Oryza sativa Japonica Group: one gene and its partners. The protein of the gene in region 1 binds, or shares a complex with, the protein of each later gene. Links are inferred from orthologs where the notes say so. Each region holds a gene or a part of one and is shown in the gene's direction. Other genes may lie near its edges.

Region 1 (3,510 bases):
CCCACTTGAAACCAAACTATATGAACTTCTGTGACAAACCAAGTGAACCTGTCTGGTTGAAGACACCATATTTTAGCAACCCACAAGCACATTTTTGCAAACTAAATGCCCTCTATACTCTATATTTGACCCTTTATAATTCAATTATGGAGCTGTTAGCATAAACTGTCAGCTATAATAAAGTCATCATTACTTCCTTTTTCTATCTTCTTTTCTTCCAAATGCATGGTTGCCATGTCATTTCTATGCTTGAGATTTATCTTGTTTGAAAATTTAATGATCAAAGGTACACATGTCTGTAGGTTTAATTATATTATTCACTGAACAGTTATGCATTTTTACTTCAGAATACAACCACCAAGGAAAATGAGACCCTGTTGGCCATTGGGACTGCTTATGTTCTTGGGGAGGATGTAGCTGCTAGAGGACGTGTGCTTCTGTTCTCTTTCACGAAAAGTGAAAATTCTCAAAATCTGGTACTGTGAGGGAGCATTATTGCAATTGGGAAAAAGGTTATTACTTCCGTTACGTATCGATTGATTTGATAACATGTAAACACTAATTGCAGGTCACTGAAGTCTACTCAAAAGAGAGTAAAGGTGCTGTATCAGCTGTTGCGTCTCTTCAAGGTCATCTGCTGATAGCTTCTGGTCCTAAGATCACATTAAACAAGTGGACTGGTGCTGAATTGACTGCTGTTGCATTCTATGATGCCCCTTTGCATGTTGTGAGCCTGAACATTGTGAGTATTGAATAGCTTTTGGTTCAATTAATATGCTTTTAGGTTTTGAGCACGTAACTTTTGGTTTAGTTCCTGTTTTCTGTTCTCTAGGCATCATTTTTCCTCGAAAGTCCATGCATAATGCTGATAGGAACAATTAAATAGAAAGAAATAATGCATTAATTGTTTCTTCATACACAAGGCTATGTAAATAGTGGTTCCCTGAATCTGGCCTTACCTGATGTTTTAGCTTTGGAGTTTTGAGCCAACCCTGACTTCTATTGTGGAGGTTAGTATAATTGGAGCTTAATGCCTATGAGCCAGCTGGGACTTTGGATTTTCCAGTGTTCATGCATTGTACTGACTACAACTTCTTTTCTCATAACAAAGATGTACGACACAGCCACTAACTGTTCTTATTGCATGTTACAAACATAACATTAATTATATAGTGTTCCATCAGGTCATGAAAAGTTGTTTTGGATGTACGTCATGTCATCATCAATATCTTCTATAATATCTAGTTGGGGAACATAAAATTCATGTGTGTATTTGTCTTGAAAATTAGTTTCATAATATTAAAATTTATTGGGGTTATACATTAGTGGTTAAAGTTACATTTTTCTGACTGGATTTTTAAAATGACATGTTTTCCTGACCAGAAAATATTTCCCCAGCCAGAACAGTAAAACAACCAAAAAAATGTGGAGAAAATGATTAAAGTAATATTTTGATATTTTAACAATTGATATTACAGATGAATTTTTTTTTTGTGTATTTAGCTAAATGTTTTTTGCATAGTAAAAACATAGTGTGGAGTTAAAAATAAAGTAGTTACCATACTTTTGAGTTGAAGTGATATCCCTCTTACTGTTTTTTAAAAGGAGTAGGAACTGCATACTCGACCACAGGAATGACATCATCAATAGTACTACACCAAACCAAAATATCCGTCAAATGTGTGCACCATTTGGTTTCTCTCAAACTCAAGTTCTGGGAACCTGAAAACTGTTCCCTTTGATCATAACAAGAAACCTGTGCTAGCCAGTGTTAATATAGACTATAATGTATTTTTTTTATTACTAGCTAATCTGCTCATATGTTGCCATGGAATCTTAAAAAGAGAACCTTTGTCATACTACCTCAGTCCAAACTCTAAAAGTTTAGCTAAATTTAGCTATTATTATCTGGAGGGAGTACATTTTAAAGCATAAAATTGTTTAACTGTTTTAGTCAATTTTTGCCATCAGTTTCTAAATACATGCTGAGCTAGGCAGGGGCACAGAGCACTGTTGCTTCATGATGAAAAACTGACGCAAGTCTTTTTTTCATTCACTTTCTGGATGCCTGCTGAATTAATCATCTTCTCTATTTAATGTGAATTCATGTTATTTAGGTGCAATACAGGTCAGTACAATTCTGCTTGTGAGGGCAAAAAGACACAAACATATGCACATTGCATAATAAGTTATGACAATTCAGTCCTTAATAAATTGATTTCTATCAATACAGCACTGCTGTGATATCAGGCAGGCCGGCTACACTCTCGTACACCAGCAGGAAAGGCCTGGCCCATTTACAACTTGCTAACCTTAACTCCCATTTACACCTGCCAGCGGCCTGCAGCTTGCACCATTCGTTGCGTCCTCTCCTCCCTCTATGAGCTGGACCACGCCATGCTTCCTCCCTTCTCCAACGTTGCCACTCCTATCTCCTCCATTCTCAAGCGCCATCGGCGCCAGCCCCTGGCCCTCTCCAGCACCACCTGCCTCCAGTCCCTTCTTTGGCGAGTCTATCTAGCAGGGTCACGTCTGCAATTCTGTCCCCTTCCCCTAGTACGATTTATTCCCGTCCCCTTCCTCTCCCTCTAGCAAGTGAACCGGCAGCGCCGAGCCCGGGACCACCAGATCCGCTCAACCTGAGCGCTATGGTGCTCTTTGAGCAGCAGCAGCAACAAAACAGCCAACAAGCGGTGCGTTGTGGTGGAATTGACCATGGCGGAAGGATTCAAGCATTGGCGAAGCACGCTCAGCTACCGTGCTGCCCCGCCAAATTGACAAACAGTGGTGAGTCTCTGCACTGCTGTACAAATACAGTGGCATCAGAAGCTGGCGCCCTGCCAGATCCAAGCATGGGCGGCACAATTCCTGTTGCGAGTTCCATGGGCAATGTCCAAGGCAAGGAGGTGAACGGGGGAGTAGGCGAGGATTCCCGTTCCCCTCCTATGGATCTGTGGTCCCCACATGTCAGAAGGTTGGTGGCAGAACCACCACCACCACCACTAACATTTAAAGTAGTATAGATTTCTTGTACTTGGTGGGTGCATTTCCAATGCTACCTTTTGCATATTTAAATTAAGAGAAAATCTATTCTATGCCATTGAGTTTGTCCTGGTTCAACAATTTGCCATTGACTACCTCTTTCTATAACATACCACTGAGCATATCAATTGTTCTACAATATTTCTTAGAAAAATGCCTTTATAGACATAAGATTAACAATCGATTTATCCCATCCGAAATTTCAAAAAATAATGATGTTGTTTTGTGTAGCCTCGTTACGCAGCATAATAGTTTGTTTATAAGTTTCAAATTTTTGCATTACTATTATTTTATAAGATATAATTTATGTGTTATATGCTACTTCCTCCGTTTCACAATGTAAGACTTTCTAGCATTGCTCACATTCATTTAGATGTTAATGAATCTAGACATATGTATGTGTTTAGATTCATTAACATCTACATATATGTGGGCAATGCTAGAAAGTCTTACATTGTGAAACGGAGG
Region 2 (4,193 bases), on another chromosome or scaffold:
GTGGCGGCGGCGCGGCGAGGAAGGCGGCGGAGAGGCAACTGAGGCGTGGTTGAGGGATTCTGGCGTGGAGCAGCGCCGGGGGAGAGGGTAGAAGCGGCGGCGGCGCCATGGACATCGAGTGCCTTGTGCTAGGTACCCTTCGTCGTCCTCCACTCCTCTCTCTCCCTCTCCGCTTCTCGCACGGATTTGATTGATTGATGGGAATGATGCGTGGATTGATGGCGATGGCGATGGCGCAGGGGCGGGGTAGGAGGTAGGGAAGAGCTGTGTGGTGGTCACCTTCGGCGGTGAGAAGCGCGTCATGTTCGACTGCGGCATGCACATGGGCCACCACGACAACCGCCGCTACCCGGACTTCGACCGCAGTGGCACCCGCCGCTGTGCACCACGTCCTCCGCCGCCGCGCTCATCGTCGCCGTCGTCGCCTCGTGGAAAGAGCAAAAAAAAATTGGGAAAATTCGGAGGAGGAAGAAGAGGGTGGGATTTTCTCGATGAACAATTGGTCCACGTGGGCGAGTTGACTAGGCTCCATTCGTTTCCACTTAAAAAAAGTGGATTAAGTTTTGGATATTCGTGGCACGCTTTTTAAACCGTTAAACGATGTGTTTTGTGCAAGAATTTTCTATATGAAAGTTGTTCTAAAATATCAGATTAATCCATTTTTCAAGTTTGCAATAATTAAAACTCAATTAATCTTACGTTATTATCATCTCGTTTTACGTGAAACACTTAATTTTCACATTCATCTTTATATTCATCATTGAATCCCCTGAAGATAAAAATGAATATTAAGTTTTTTTTTATGTAAAATGATGTGGTATTAACGTATATTCGATTGAGCTTTAATTATTACAAATTTGAAAAATAAATTAATATGATATTTTAGAGCAACTTTTATATATAAAGTTTTTTCGCACGAAACGAGCCGTTTATCAGTTTGAAAGCGTGCCACGAAAATCTTAGGGCCTGTTCACTTTATGCCAAAAAAAACCTTACTAAATTTTAGTAATACCAAAATTTTGGCAACAACTTGCTAAAATTTTAGTAGGATTTCTTATATAATTACTAAAATTTGACAACAAACTAAATGTAGCCACTTTTTTAGTAACTTTACTAAAATTTGGTAAGGTTAAAAATGGCTTCAAAGTGAACATGCCGTTAATCTTCATCCAACTCTTGTCGGAGAAAAGAACGGGACTAGAGTGAGACCAAAGTAAGCAGCGGCTGGGCTTTTTGGTGGGCCAAGATTGATATGGGCTTAATATGCAGATAAAGCGTTTGACTGGGCTCTGACAAGCAGGGCCCATGGGCTCACACTGATATGGGCTTACTGAGAACTGGGCCGAGGCCCACAAAAGCCCAACTCTTCTAGCCGGCAAGCCCAACCAGCCGCACGCCCTCCTCGGCGGCGCGGCGAGGAAGGCGGCGGAGAGGCAACGGAGGCGTGGTTGAGGGATTCCGGCGTGGAGCGGCGCCGGGAGAGGGGAGAAGCGGCGGCGGCGGCGGCGGCGGCATGGCCATCGAGTGCCTCGTGCTAGGTACCCTTCGTCCTCCTCGAGTTCCTCTTCTCGCACGGGTTGATTGATGGGAACCACGCGTGGATTGATGGCGATGGCGCAGGGGCGGGGCAGGAGGTGGGGAAGAGCTGCGTGGTGGTCACCTTCGGCGGCGGGAAGCGCGTCATGTTCGACTGCGGCATGCACATGGGCCACCGCGACAGCCGCCGCTACCCGGACTTCGACCGCCTCCTCGCCGACGGCGCCGCCGACTACACCGCCGCCATCTCCTGCGTCGTCATCACCCACTTGTGCGTCTGCCAAAAATCGAATTGAATTGAATCGAATTTGATCTGTAGCAGCATATCCAGTTTGCTTGCACGGTTAATAGCTTTGTGAAGTTTGTGCGTTGCAGCCATTTGGATCATATCGGAGCACTGCCGTACTTCACCGAGGTCTGCGGTTACCACGGTCCAGTTTACATGACGGTGAGTTGTAACCACTAACCAGTTCATGTTTATTTGTTCAGTATTATGATTGCGCAGCTTTGGTGTATCCGTTCCAGGTAGAATGGGGTTTCATTAAAAAAAAAGGGGCTATAGTGAGGTTGAATTTCAAATTAACTTGTCATAGGTTGGATTTTTATTCATCTTAGCTATCAAATACTAATATCCATTGAGCTTGTGAGTTGTGGCTGTCACTGCAGTACTTAATAGTGGTCATGGTCCTGCGTAAATATGTTTGATGGTCTAGGGGTTCAGTGAACTTGTTGATCTTATTGAGATGATCTTGTCAAAGTATATAATACGCAAAAGGAGATGTGCTGTGAACTGATATTGTCCATCGGTAGCATGTGAAAGCTTGATTTCTCTTGCTGAGTGATTGATCTTCATCTCATAACTTAAATCGTTGTACCTCAAGCAGTACCCGACAAAGGCTTTAGCTCCATTGATGCTGGAAGACTATCGGAAAGTAATGGTAGATCATAGAGGAGAGGAAGAGCAATATAGCTATGAAGACATCCTACGCTGTATGAGGAAAGGTAAATGTTCTGTGTTCACTTTTCACATATCTTTTACTAGTCTACTTAGATATTGTGCTGGCACACAGGTATGCATGTACGATAGTTCTCATTTGGTTATTTCATTGGACATTTCAGTTATACCATTGGACCTGAAGCAGACCATTCAAGTAGATAAGGACCTTTCGATCCGTGCCTATTATGCTGGACATGTATGTGCTGTATACTTTTCTGTCCCATATTAACTGCAGTGTTATTTTTTAAATTCTTGGAAAATTAATATTAATGTTGTTCTGTACTTTCTTAATTAGTCATCATTCTTCCACATGCAAGGTTCTAGGGGCTGCAATGATATATGCAAAAGTTGGAGATGCTGCTATTGTGTACACTGGAGATTACAATATGACACCAGATAGGCACCTTGGAGCAGCGCAAATTGATCGTCTGAAGTTAGATCTGTTGATAACAGAGTATGCTACAAATTCAAATTATAGTTATGCTCTTGTGCATCATGTTTTCCTTTTGAAATGTTGACCCAGTGATGTAGTTGTAGACTTGTAGTGAATCATTGCCACTCAGGATTAGGTTCTTTGGTATGTTTTAGCAGTAATTTTGCTGTCTTGTTTCTTATAGCTCTTTTATCTTTTGTGTGCGCTTGCGCGCGTGCTTGTGTGTCCATTAACTATCTTTATGATATCAGGTTTTCCACACAGCTACGTACCAGTAAACCAGTATCCGGTTTCTGTTGTTAACCTCTGCTTTGACCTGTATGTAGTTGGAAATCTCCTTTGTAGTTAATGATTAGGTAGGTGTATTTTGCTAAATTTTTCTTGTGATGTTTCGTTTTAATATAATCCATATTTGGTTTTTATGGAATTATGGTCTACCTTGTTCTGTACTGTTGTCTTAATGTTTTACCAATACGGAATTTGAGGTGCAGTTCTTTGGTGTATCTGTTTTATGTTCAATGTGTAAGTATTAAACTGAAGTTTTATCTGCAGATCAACATATGCTAAAACTGTGCGTGACTCGAAGCATGCCCGAGAGAGGGAGTTCTTAAAAGCAGTATGAAACCTGAACCTTCACACTACCAATTTTATTGGGGCTTTTTTTATTTGGTTTCTTTTGTAACACTTATGCAATCCCCTTGGTGATGCAAGATATGTGTTACATTTATCGATGCTGATGGTTGGGCTTGTAGCATTGTGCAAACTTAAGTAGTTTTGTACATTTCTATGGCATGAATACCTCCAGGGAGTTCATGCTCACAAAATACTAAGTACAACTTGTTATTAGCCAAGAGTTTATCCCTTTTTCAAGTTCTGATACTTGAATCATGTTGATTGTGTTGACACATTGAATCTTTATAATCTTTACTTGCAAATTTCTACTTAGTAAATTCATCACTTTAATGAGAGCGTATTTTATCTAGGTCCATAAGTGTGTTTCTGGAGGTGGTAAAGTTCTAATTCCAGCATTTGCTCTTGGAAGAGCACAGGTACTCACCACTCCTCTCTTAATTATATGTGATGATGCATTTAATTTAATGGTTAAGAGTAGGATCCTTTTGGAAAAATGTCCTTTGGAGTATGCTGTTTGAAACTTCCATAATCAGAAGTGATACACTGCTGTAATGTGGAAAACAAATTAAGATTGCCTTGAAACTCCGAAAGGGG
Region 3 (4,249 bases), on another chromosome or scaffold:
AATAATTTCTACAGTTCCCATTCGGTTTGTATAAATAAGTTATAGGAAAACCAAACGAATTTTTTCTTTTCCTTTAAGTTGTAGAGAAAAAACATAGGAAGACTTCCGTTCACTCAAATCTTTTGAAAAAATTCATATGAATTGATACGTGCATTTATTTTTTTTTCACTTTCCTATTTCTATGGATTAAAATTCCTCAAACTGAATAAACTAGCCCTCGAATCTAACGGGTTGTTTGGATCAGGGACTAAAATTTTAGTCCCTATCACATCGGATATTTAGACACTCATTAGAAGTATTAAATGTAAATTAATGACAAAACTCATACCATACCTGGACTAATTCGCGAGATAAATCTATTGAGCCTAATTAATCCATGATTAGTCTATGTGATGCTACGGTAAACATGTGGTAATTATGGATTAATTAGGCTTAAAAATTTATCTCGCGAATTAGCTCTCATTTATACAATTAGTTTTATTATTAGTCTAAGTTTAATACTTCTTATTAGTGTCAAAAACATCCGATGTGATAGAGACTAAAATTTTAGCCCTTGGATCCAAACACCACCTAAGACACCTATAGATCAATGCAAGGACGGTTGCGTACGTCAAGCCTGCACGACTCAACTTCTTCTCCCCATTAGTCTAGCTCGATGGGCTAGCTCCATGCCTGCTATCGAATTTCTCTGGGTCTATTTGGTAGAGCTCCAACTCCTAAATTTAGCTCCAGACGTTAGGTCTAGAATTTAGTTGTGGAGCAGTCTAAACCCAGCTCTACATCTCTAGTTCATTTTGTGAGAGTTCCCCATCCAACTCTGATCCATTTAAGTTGGAACTGAAATTGTTAGGCTAGGCTCTAGCTCTAGAAGACGTGAAGCTGGAGCTGAGTTGTGCTAAAGTTATGCTCCAGCTCCATGATATCTCAACCAATATAATTCGTTTCCTTCAACTCCAATATGGGATATCTTGATCCCTCAACTATTAAAACCGATGCAATTTGACTCCCTCAGCAGTTTTGGAGGACGGTTTCACGGACGTGAGTGTTGACATGGAGTTTAGATGGCATTAGAATTAAAAAAAAATATGTGTGTGAGCCCCATTCGTCATTCACACAATAAAAAATATGAGGCCCCCGTGCCATCTCCCCTCTATCCTTCTTGCTCTTCCCTCTTTCTCCCTTCTCTCTCTATGTTTCTCTTCCTCTCCACTTCGGTGCAGGATCTGGAGCAGTGTTGGCGGCGAAGGGCCGAGGGCTAGAAATCCCGGTAATTGCGGTTCAAGATACAAATTAGATTGGTTAAGGGAGCTAAAGTGAACTTACTGTCCAGCTCCAGGGCTGCTTGGACTGCAAGCCCTTCCGGGCCCAACTTAATTCAGCCTGCTTCGAGTCCGCCGTGTCCAAAGCCCTAAAAGGTCTTTCCTTCTCCGCTCGTCAGCAAGTGAAGGGGAAAATGGCGTCGTCCGTCGCCGCCGCCGCCGCACCGACCGCCGGGGGGCCGCCGGGGAAGCGGCAGGCCTCCGGCGGGCGGGAGGGAGACCAGCTCATCATCACTCCGCTGGGCGCCGGCAACGAGGTCGGCCGCTCCTGCGTCTACATGTCATTCAAGGGCCGCACCGTCCTCGTGAGCATCCAATCCCCCCACTCTTTCCCTCCAAACCCTAGCTTCCACTGCTTTCTTTTTTATGATAATTTCTGCTTTTGTTTGTCATGTGGTGTGGTGTGGTTTGGATTCTTGGATAGTTCGATTGCGGCATCCACCCGGCTTACTCCGGCATGGCGGCGCTCCCCTACTTCGATGAGATCGATCCCTCCACCATTGATGTCCTCCTAATCACCCAGTACTTATTCCCCCCACTCTCTTTTCACCCTTTTTCTTTTATTTTCTTTGCCCCTTCTGTCAAATCTGTGCGTCTCTTGCTTAACTTCGCCCTTAAAATTTGCAGCTTTCACTTGGACCATGCTGCCTCTCTTCCCTACTTCTTGGAGAAGGTAATGTTCCACCATCTTCCGTTTTTTTGCTTCGACAGTAAGTGCTCAGCTATTGCCCTGATACCATTCAGCATCCTCAAGTTGCTCTGGTTTTATTTGCAGACGACATTCAAGGGGCGCGTGTTCATGACCCATGCCACAAAGGCCATCTACAGGCTGCTCCTTTCCGATTATGTCAAAGTCAGCAAAGTTTCTGTGGAGGATATGCTGTTTGACGAGCAAGACATTCTTCGTTCCATGGATAAAATTGAGGTATTTTATCTCCCTGAATGGATTTAAATTGCCTATATAGCAGTACAGCACTTTGTCGACCCCTTTCAAATGCATATGTTAGAACAAATTTGAATGGACAGAAATCCTCTAGATGGTTGATAATCAACTGAGAAACCTGTAACATCTGATTGTTGCTTTGTAAACATTGACCATTTCCTTCCATATAGCATATTGTTGATTCTTCTTGTGATGATCGAAAGCTTGTATGTATTTCATGGAGTGAATGAATACTTTTGTTAACATAAAAATGCCTTGCAGGTCATAGACTTCCACCAGACATTGGAAGTTAATGGCATACGCTTCTGGTGCTATACTGCTGGCCATGTACTTGGCGCTGCAATGTTCATGGTGGACATTGCTGGGGTTCGCGTTCTTTACACTGGTGACTACTCCCGTGAGGAAGATCGCCACCTGAAAGCTGCTGAACTTCCCCAGTTCTCCCCTGATATTTGCATTATCGAGTCAACTTATGGCGTGCAGCAGCACCAACCCCGCCATGTACGAGAGAAGCGCTTCACTGATGTAATACACACGACCGTCTCGCAGGGTGGTCGCGTTCTTATCCCAGCCTTTGCTCTTGGAAGAGCTCAAGAGCTGCTACTTATCCTGGATGAGTATTGGGCCAACCACCCAGAGCTCCATAAGATTCCAATCTATTATGCCTCCCCTCTTGCCAAGAAATGCATGGCTGTCTACCAGACATACATCAACTCCATGAATGAAAGGATTAGGAACCAGTTTGCACAATCTAATCCCTTCCATTTCAAGCATATTGAGTCTTTGAATAGCATAGATAACTTTCATGATGTGGGTCCATCAGTGGTTATGGCAAGCCCAGGTGGTCTCCAGAGTGGCCTCTCCAGGCAGCTCTTTGACAAATGGTGCACAGATAAGAAGAATTCATGTGTTATTCCAGGTTATGTTGTGGAAGGCACCCTTGCAAAGACCATTATTAACGAGCCAAGAGAAGTGACACTGGCGAATGGGCTCACTGCTCCTCTTCATATGCAGGTCCACTATATTTCCTTTTCTGCTCATGCTGATTTCCCTCAGACAAGCACCTTCTTGGATGAGCTCCAGCCACCCAACATTGTTCTTGTACACGGGGAAGCAAATGAGATGTCAAGACTTAAGCAGAAGCTTATTTCTCAGTTTGATGGGACAAATATAAAAGTTGTTAACCCCAAGAATTGCCAATCAGTGGAGATGTATTTCAGTTCTGAGAAAATGGCCAAGACAATTGGCAGGTTGGCTGAAAAGGTACCGGAAGCTGGAGAATCAGTTAATGGCTTGCTTGTAAAGAAGGGATTCACATATCAAATTATGGCTCCTGAGGATCTCCGTGTGTACACGCAGCTATCTACAGCTAACATTACCCAAAGGATTGCCGTCCCATATTCTGGTTCTTTTGAAGTCATAAAGTACAGACTGAAGCAAATATATGAGAGCGTGGAGTCATCAACAGAGGAGTCTGATGTTCCAACATTGATTGTGCATGAGAGAGTGACCATTCGCCTGGAATCAGAAAGCTATGTTACATTGCAGTGGTCGTCTGATCCTATCAGTGATATGGTGTCTGATTCTGTGGTCGCCATGGTCTTGAACATAGGCCGTGAAGGTCCCAAAGTTGTCCCAGTTGAAGAAGCAGTGAAGACACAGGAAGAGACGGAAAGGGTGGCCCAGAAGGTAGTTTATGCTCTTATGGTGTCACTTTTTGGTGATGTCAAAGTTGCAGAGGAAGGGAAACTTGTTATATCTGTGGATGGACAAGTAGCACACTTGGATGGGAGGAGTGGTGGTGTTGAATGTGAAAATGCTACACTGAGAGAAAGGATCAAGACTGCATTCCGTCGTATACAGGGTGCTGTGAGACCAATCCCGCTTATATCTTCTTGAGCTGAAGGCGTTAAAGTTACGCTTAAACGTGTCCAATGTTTCCTAGATGAACTTAGTAGCATTACCTGTCTGCACATGATGAGCAGGC
Region 4 (4,113 bases), on another chromosome or scaffold:
TGAAAATAATGCGAGGAATGTAAATCACGGGATTATCTGCCATTTTGGAGAAGGACAGATACAGACCTCCTCCCACTTTTTCTGGAGCTGCAAAAGCTCTTTACAGCATGCCACACACTCAGCATGGTAAGCAGCAGCCAGTTCTTTAATCAAGGCCTTCCTTTTGATTATTCCTATCACTTCAAAACACCATGGCATTATATACAAGCACAAGAATGCTGGCAACTATTTTACAAATGAAAAATGTTTTTTAGATTTTGCAAGCAATGCATCAACAGAACTCAATATATCTCTAATACTATAATGAGGCCAGTGTACCATGTGAAAATCATGGAGAGATAAAGCTTTGACATTTCATAACTCACTCATGACAATATACTAGCAAGGTAGCTAGTACATGCATAACAATTGTACTTCTATTCAGTATCTGGTAGGATAGGATACCTGCTCCAATCATTTATATAGAGTCAAATTTTTTGCAACATACTAGACTTACTCCATCCCGAATAAACTGAGATGTTGGTTCAAGAATTACCATCCTATGCACATCTCTCAGAAAGCTTTATAAGTGAACTGAATTATGGACCAAGGGCTACGAAAATTGAGGCCATGGCCATGGCATTTGATAGGATCTTTGTGCATTCCTAGTTGTGCAGCAGATGTTTATTTCGTGTGACTGTGAGATTTCCAATTTGATTCGTGGCGAATTGTTAGTTAGCAATACTAGTTTACAAAACCTGAACCCTCTAAAGCAAATCAGTATGAGTCGTGATTTGTTATACTCTAGTACCGAATAGGAGTAACCAAATCTAGAGCACGAACACAAAAGGTAACAAAAATTAAAGGTGCGTGAGAAAGAGAGAGACCCTTACTTCGGCTGGGATCGAAGTGTTGCTCGTCGGGCTTCTTCTCCCCGTTGGCCGTCGGCTCCCCGCTGCCGCTCGCGCCGTCCATGGGATGGGAGGCGGAAGATCGCCGCGGTTAGGCCTTTGCTTAGATCCAACCAAACAAGCCAACACCCAGGAAAGGGGAAGGCGACAGAGCCGAGCCGGTTCTCTGGATGTGTATTTGTTGGGATTTCTCGCTTCTAGGTCGCCGGCGAAAAGGGGCTCGCTGGCCGGAGACGAAGACGGAGACGCAGATGGAGACGAGAGTGACAATGGCGGCGGCGGACGCAACGCTCCGTCGGCCTCGAGTAGGAAAGTGAAGGAAACCAACACAAAAGAGGAAGTATATGGGCCTCAGCCCGGCCCATGTACAGTTTTTCTGCATAAGCCTCTCGAGCGGCCCAACTACTACACTTGGACTCTTTCTCTCTCATTCCACTTCTTGCTCGCCGCCGCCGCCGCCGCCGCCGCCGGCGAAGGGGATCGATCGGATGGGGACGTCGGTGCAGGTGACTCCGTTGAGTGGCGCGTACGGTGAGGGACCCCTCTGCTACCTGCTCGCCGTCGATGGCTTCCGCTTCCTCCTCGACTGCGGCTGGACCGACCTCTGCGACCCCTCCCACCTCCAACCCCTCGCCAAGTACGCTTCCACCATTTTCGCCCTAACTCTCCTCTTGGCTAGTCGGGGTCAGCTGCTTTGGTGCTAGTCTTTCTCCTTTGCCGCATGCTGCGATGAGTTCGGATGGGATGGGGATGGGGTTGCCATGCGCGCCACCTGCTCGTTCAATTGCCTACACTTGGAGACAGTGAAGGGTTCTCCGGCTCTGCTGTGATTTTGTCATCTTAGGGTTATCTGTGTTGCTATGTAACGAATGAGATCGTCGGTTTAGGAGATTGATTTGCCTCAACTGAATTGCTGAGTCCGACAGGTGTTCGGGTGTGCTTGTGCATAGTCAGGCTTGGTGCATGTTATGCACTTGTGTTGGTGGGTCCGTGTGCACGAACGCATATGCACTTCTACATTGTGCCCATGATCCTGCATACATACCATATGGACTACTTACTGATGTGTTGTTTATGTATGACCTTAATTGTTAATTAGTATGTGCCAAAGATGTAGCTCGAGTTTCTAAACCGTGCTTAATATTGCTTCTCAAGCTTGTCTTACTGGGCGTTGCCCCTCAACATTTCATGTGGTTTTTACATGGAACCTTCAGTAATTGCTTTCATTTGCTTAAATGGTGAATATCTATCTTAAGGCAATTATAGAGTGGCATGATCAAGGCAATTTTTTGCCTCCCTGTAATAGATAGCCTGCTTTCAGGTTGAACTCTGACTCATATTTATATTTATTTTTCTATGCTGAATAAACTTATTCTTGTTCGTCTTCCTTGATTGTTGAGTAATCATGGCATAGATTTAGTAGCAATTATCTCACCAGCTTGGTACTAGTAGCCTCAAAATCATGCAAAAGTTCCATTTTAAGCTCCCATGATCTTTGTTGTTCAATTATTCAAATTACACATCTGTAAAGATTGAAGGGAACACTTGAACATGTTTCAGTATTTTTATGGATTATGAATTTGATCAGTATTTTTTTTTCAGGGTTGCACCAACAATAGATGCAGTTCTTTTGTCTCATGCCGATACCATGCATCTAGGAGCTTTGCCATATGCTATGAAACATCTCGGACTATCTGCACCAGTATATGCCACAGAACCTGTATTTAGACTTGGCATTTTAACCTTGTATGATTACTTTATATCACGACGGGTAAGCTTTCTAGTGTCCATTTTAACCTCTTGTTTGTTTCATTGCATATAGTGGATCTAACCATTCTTTATTTTCCTTTGCAGCAAGTTTCAGATTTTGACTTGTTTACTTTGGACGATATTGATGCTGCATTCCAAAATGTTGTTAGATTGAAGTACTCACAGAACCACCTTTTGAATGGTCAGTAAGCATGCTGTTGATGTATATCCTTTGCTAAATTACATCCCCTTACATACTATTGATTGGCAGATAAAGGTGAAGGAATAGTTATTGCTCCACATGTTGCTGGGCATGATTTGGGTGGCACGGTATGGAAGATAACAAAAGATGGGGAGGATGTTGTTTATGCTGTTGACTTCAACCATCGTAAAGAGAGGTTAAATCCTTCCTTTGTCATTTACTTGTCATTTTAGTTTTCTCTTTATTAGCAAATAATAACAGCAATGTGCTTTTCCAGGCATTTGAATGGTACTGCTCTTGGATCATTTGTACGGCCAGCTGTTCTGATAACTGATGCATACAATGCCTTGAACAACCATGTCTACAAAAGGCAGCAGGATCAAGATTTCATTGGTACAACACTGGACATGTTATTATCATAGCTCTCTATCTCTATCTCTTTTTCAAATGCTTTCAGCTCTAGCATTACTACTATACCCACACAGCCATGGTTGCAGGTAACAGCTCATGATAATTTTGTTGGAAGCTGTTTTTTACTTATGTTTTCTCCATCAAAGTAGCACTGATGAATATATCTTCTATTTTCCAAATTTGCAACTTGGACACAACTTTTTTTATTTCTCAATTATTTTTTAGTGCTACACATTGTTGAGTTCAATAATAAACTATTAATATTTTAGACTCCAAATATATGTTATCGTGTATATGGTTTGTTTTAGTTACTGTATGGGAATCCTCTTGTGATGTCTAATTGACATCCTGTTTCATGCAGATGCATTAGTGAAAGTTCTAACTGGTGGTGGTAGTGTGTTACTGCCGATTGATACAGCTGGTAGAGTTCTTGAAATTCTTTTGATATTGGAGCAGGTGAAATCTTGAAGGTCTTGTTCTCGTACTGTTTTATTTTGTTATGTCAATAATATGTTCACCTTTTGTCTTGATTTATTGCAGTACTGGGCTCAACGGCATTTGATCTACCCTATCTACTTTCTGACAAATGTTTCTACGAGTACTGTTGATTATGTCAAGAGTTTTCTTGAATGGATGAATGATTCAATCTCAAAGTCTTTTGAACACACTAGAGACAATGCCTTCCTATTAAAGTACGAATGATTCTTGTTACTTTCCTTTTTTTCAGTTCATCGTTTTGTTTTATTCTGTGCATATTGACAATTGCTATGCATTGCAAGCCTGAAGATTCATGATGAGCTTATTATTTTACATTTCAACAGCCCAATAGACATGTTTCCTCTATTACTTTCTCCTTATGGA

What was found. Proteins that work in one complex are often made in the same cells at the same time.
Region 2: probable cleavage and polyadenylation specificity factor subunit 1 (region 1) and cleavage and polyadenylation specificity factor subunit 3-II share a complex: the UniProt entries of both Arabidopsis thaliana proteins name them as parts of the CPSF complex. The link is inferred for Oryza sativa Japonica Group from reciprocal best matches to the Arabidopsis thaliana genes CPSF160 and CPSF73-II.
Region 3: probable cleavage and polyadenylation specificity factor subunit 1 (region 1) and cleavage and polyadenylation specificity factor subunit 3-I share a complex: the UniProt entries of both Arabidopsis thaliana proteins name them as parts of the CPSF complex. The link is inferred for Oryza sativa Japonica Group from reciprocal best matches to the Arabidopsis thaliana genes CPSF160 and CPSF73-I.
Region 4: probable cleavage and polyadenylation specificity factor subunit 1 (region 1) and cleavage and polyadenylation specificity factor subunit 2 share a complex: the UniProt entries of both Arabidopsis thaliana proteins name them as parts of the CPSF complex. The link is inferred for Oryza sativa Japonica Group from reciprocal best matches to the Arabidopsis thaliana genes CPSF160 and CPSF100.

The regions. Positions count from the first base shown.
Region 1 is NC_089038.1:10,090,530-10,094,039, reverse strand, and holds part of probable cleavage and polyadenylation specificity factor subunit 1, read left to right. Parts: intron 1-347; coding exon 348-476; intron 477-568; coding exon 569-742; intron 743-3,510. UniProt on the Arabidopsis thaliana protein: CPSF plays a key role in pre-mRNA 3'-end formation, recognizing the AAUAAA signal sequence and interacting with poly(A)polymerase and other factors to bring about cleavage and poly(A) addition.
Region 2 is NC_089043.1:18,259,397-18,263,589, forward strand, and holds the start of cleavage and polyadenylation specificity factor subunit 3-II, read left to right. Parts: upstream 1-1,383; 5' UTR 1,384-1,513; coding exon 1,514-1,538; intron 1,539-1,620; coding exon 1,621-1,807; intron 1,808-1,911; coding exon 1,912-1,984; intron 1,985-2,420; coding exon 2,421-2,538; intron 2,539-2,655; coding exon 2,656-2,729; intron 2,730-2,850; coding exon 2,851-2,987; intron 2,988-3,518; coding exon 3,519-3,582; intron 3,583-3,949; coding exon 3,950-4,015; intron 4,016-4,193. UniProt on the Arabidopsis thaliana protein: Component of the cleavage and polyadenylation specificity factor (CPSF) complex that play a key role in pre-mRNA 3'-end formation, recognizing the AAUAAA signal sequence and interacting with poly(A) polymerase and other factors to bring about cleavage and poly(A) addition.
Region 3 is NC_089037.1:36,887,661-36,891,909, reverse strand, and holds the start of cleavage and polyadenylation specificity factor subunit 3-I, read left to right. Parts: upstream 1-1,439; 5' UTR 1,440-1,453; coding exon 1,454-1,624; intron 1,625-1,743; coding exon 1,744-1,841; intron 1,842-1,946; coding exon 1,947-1,992; intron 1,993-2,094; coding exon 2,095-2,244; intron 2,245-2,523; coding exon 2,524-4,161; 3' UTR 4,162-4,249. UniProt on the Arabidopsis thaliana protein: Component of the cleavage and polyadenylation specificity factor (CPSF) complex that play a key role in pre-mRNA 3'-end formation, recognizing the AAUAAA signal sequence and interacting with poly(A) polymerase and other factors to bring about cleavage and poly(A) addition.
Region 4 is NC_089043.1:27,169,913-27,174,025, reverse strand, and holds the start of cleavage and polyadenylation specificity factor subunit 2, read left to right. Parts: upstream 1-1,303; 5' UTR 1,304-1,378; coding exon 1,379-1,527; intron 1,528-2,492; coding exon 2,493-2,661; intron 2,662-2,744; coding exon 2,745-2,841; intron 2,842-2,910; coding exon 2,911-3,037; intron 3,038-3,118; coding exon 3,119-3,234; intron 3,235-3,613; coding exon 3,614-3,708; intron 3,709-3,792; coding exon 3,793-3,944; intron 3,945-4,113. Other genes in the region: uncharacterized LOC9271620, read right to left, coding at 67-179, 873-954. UniProt on the Arabidopsis thaliana protein: CPSF plays a key role in pre-mRNA 3'-end formation, recognizing the AAUAAA signal sequence and interacting with poly(A)polymerase and other factors to bring about cleavage and poly(A) addition. Required for antisense-RNA-mediated gene silencing.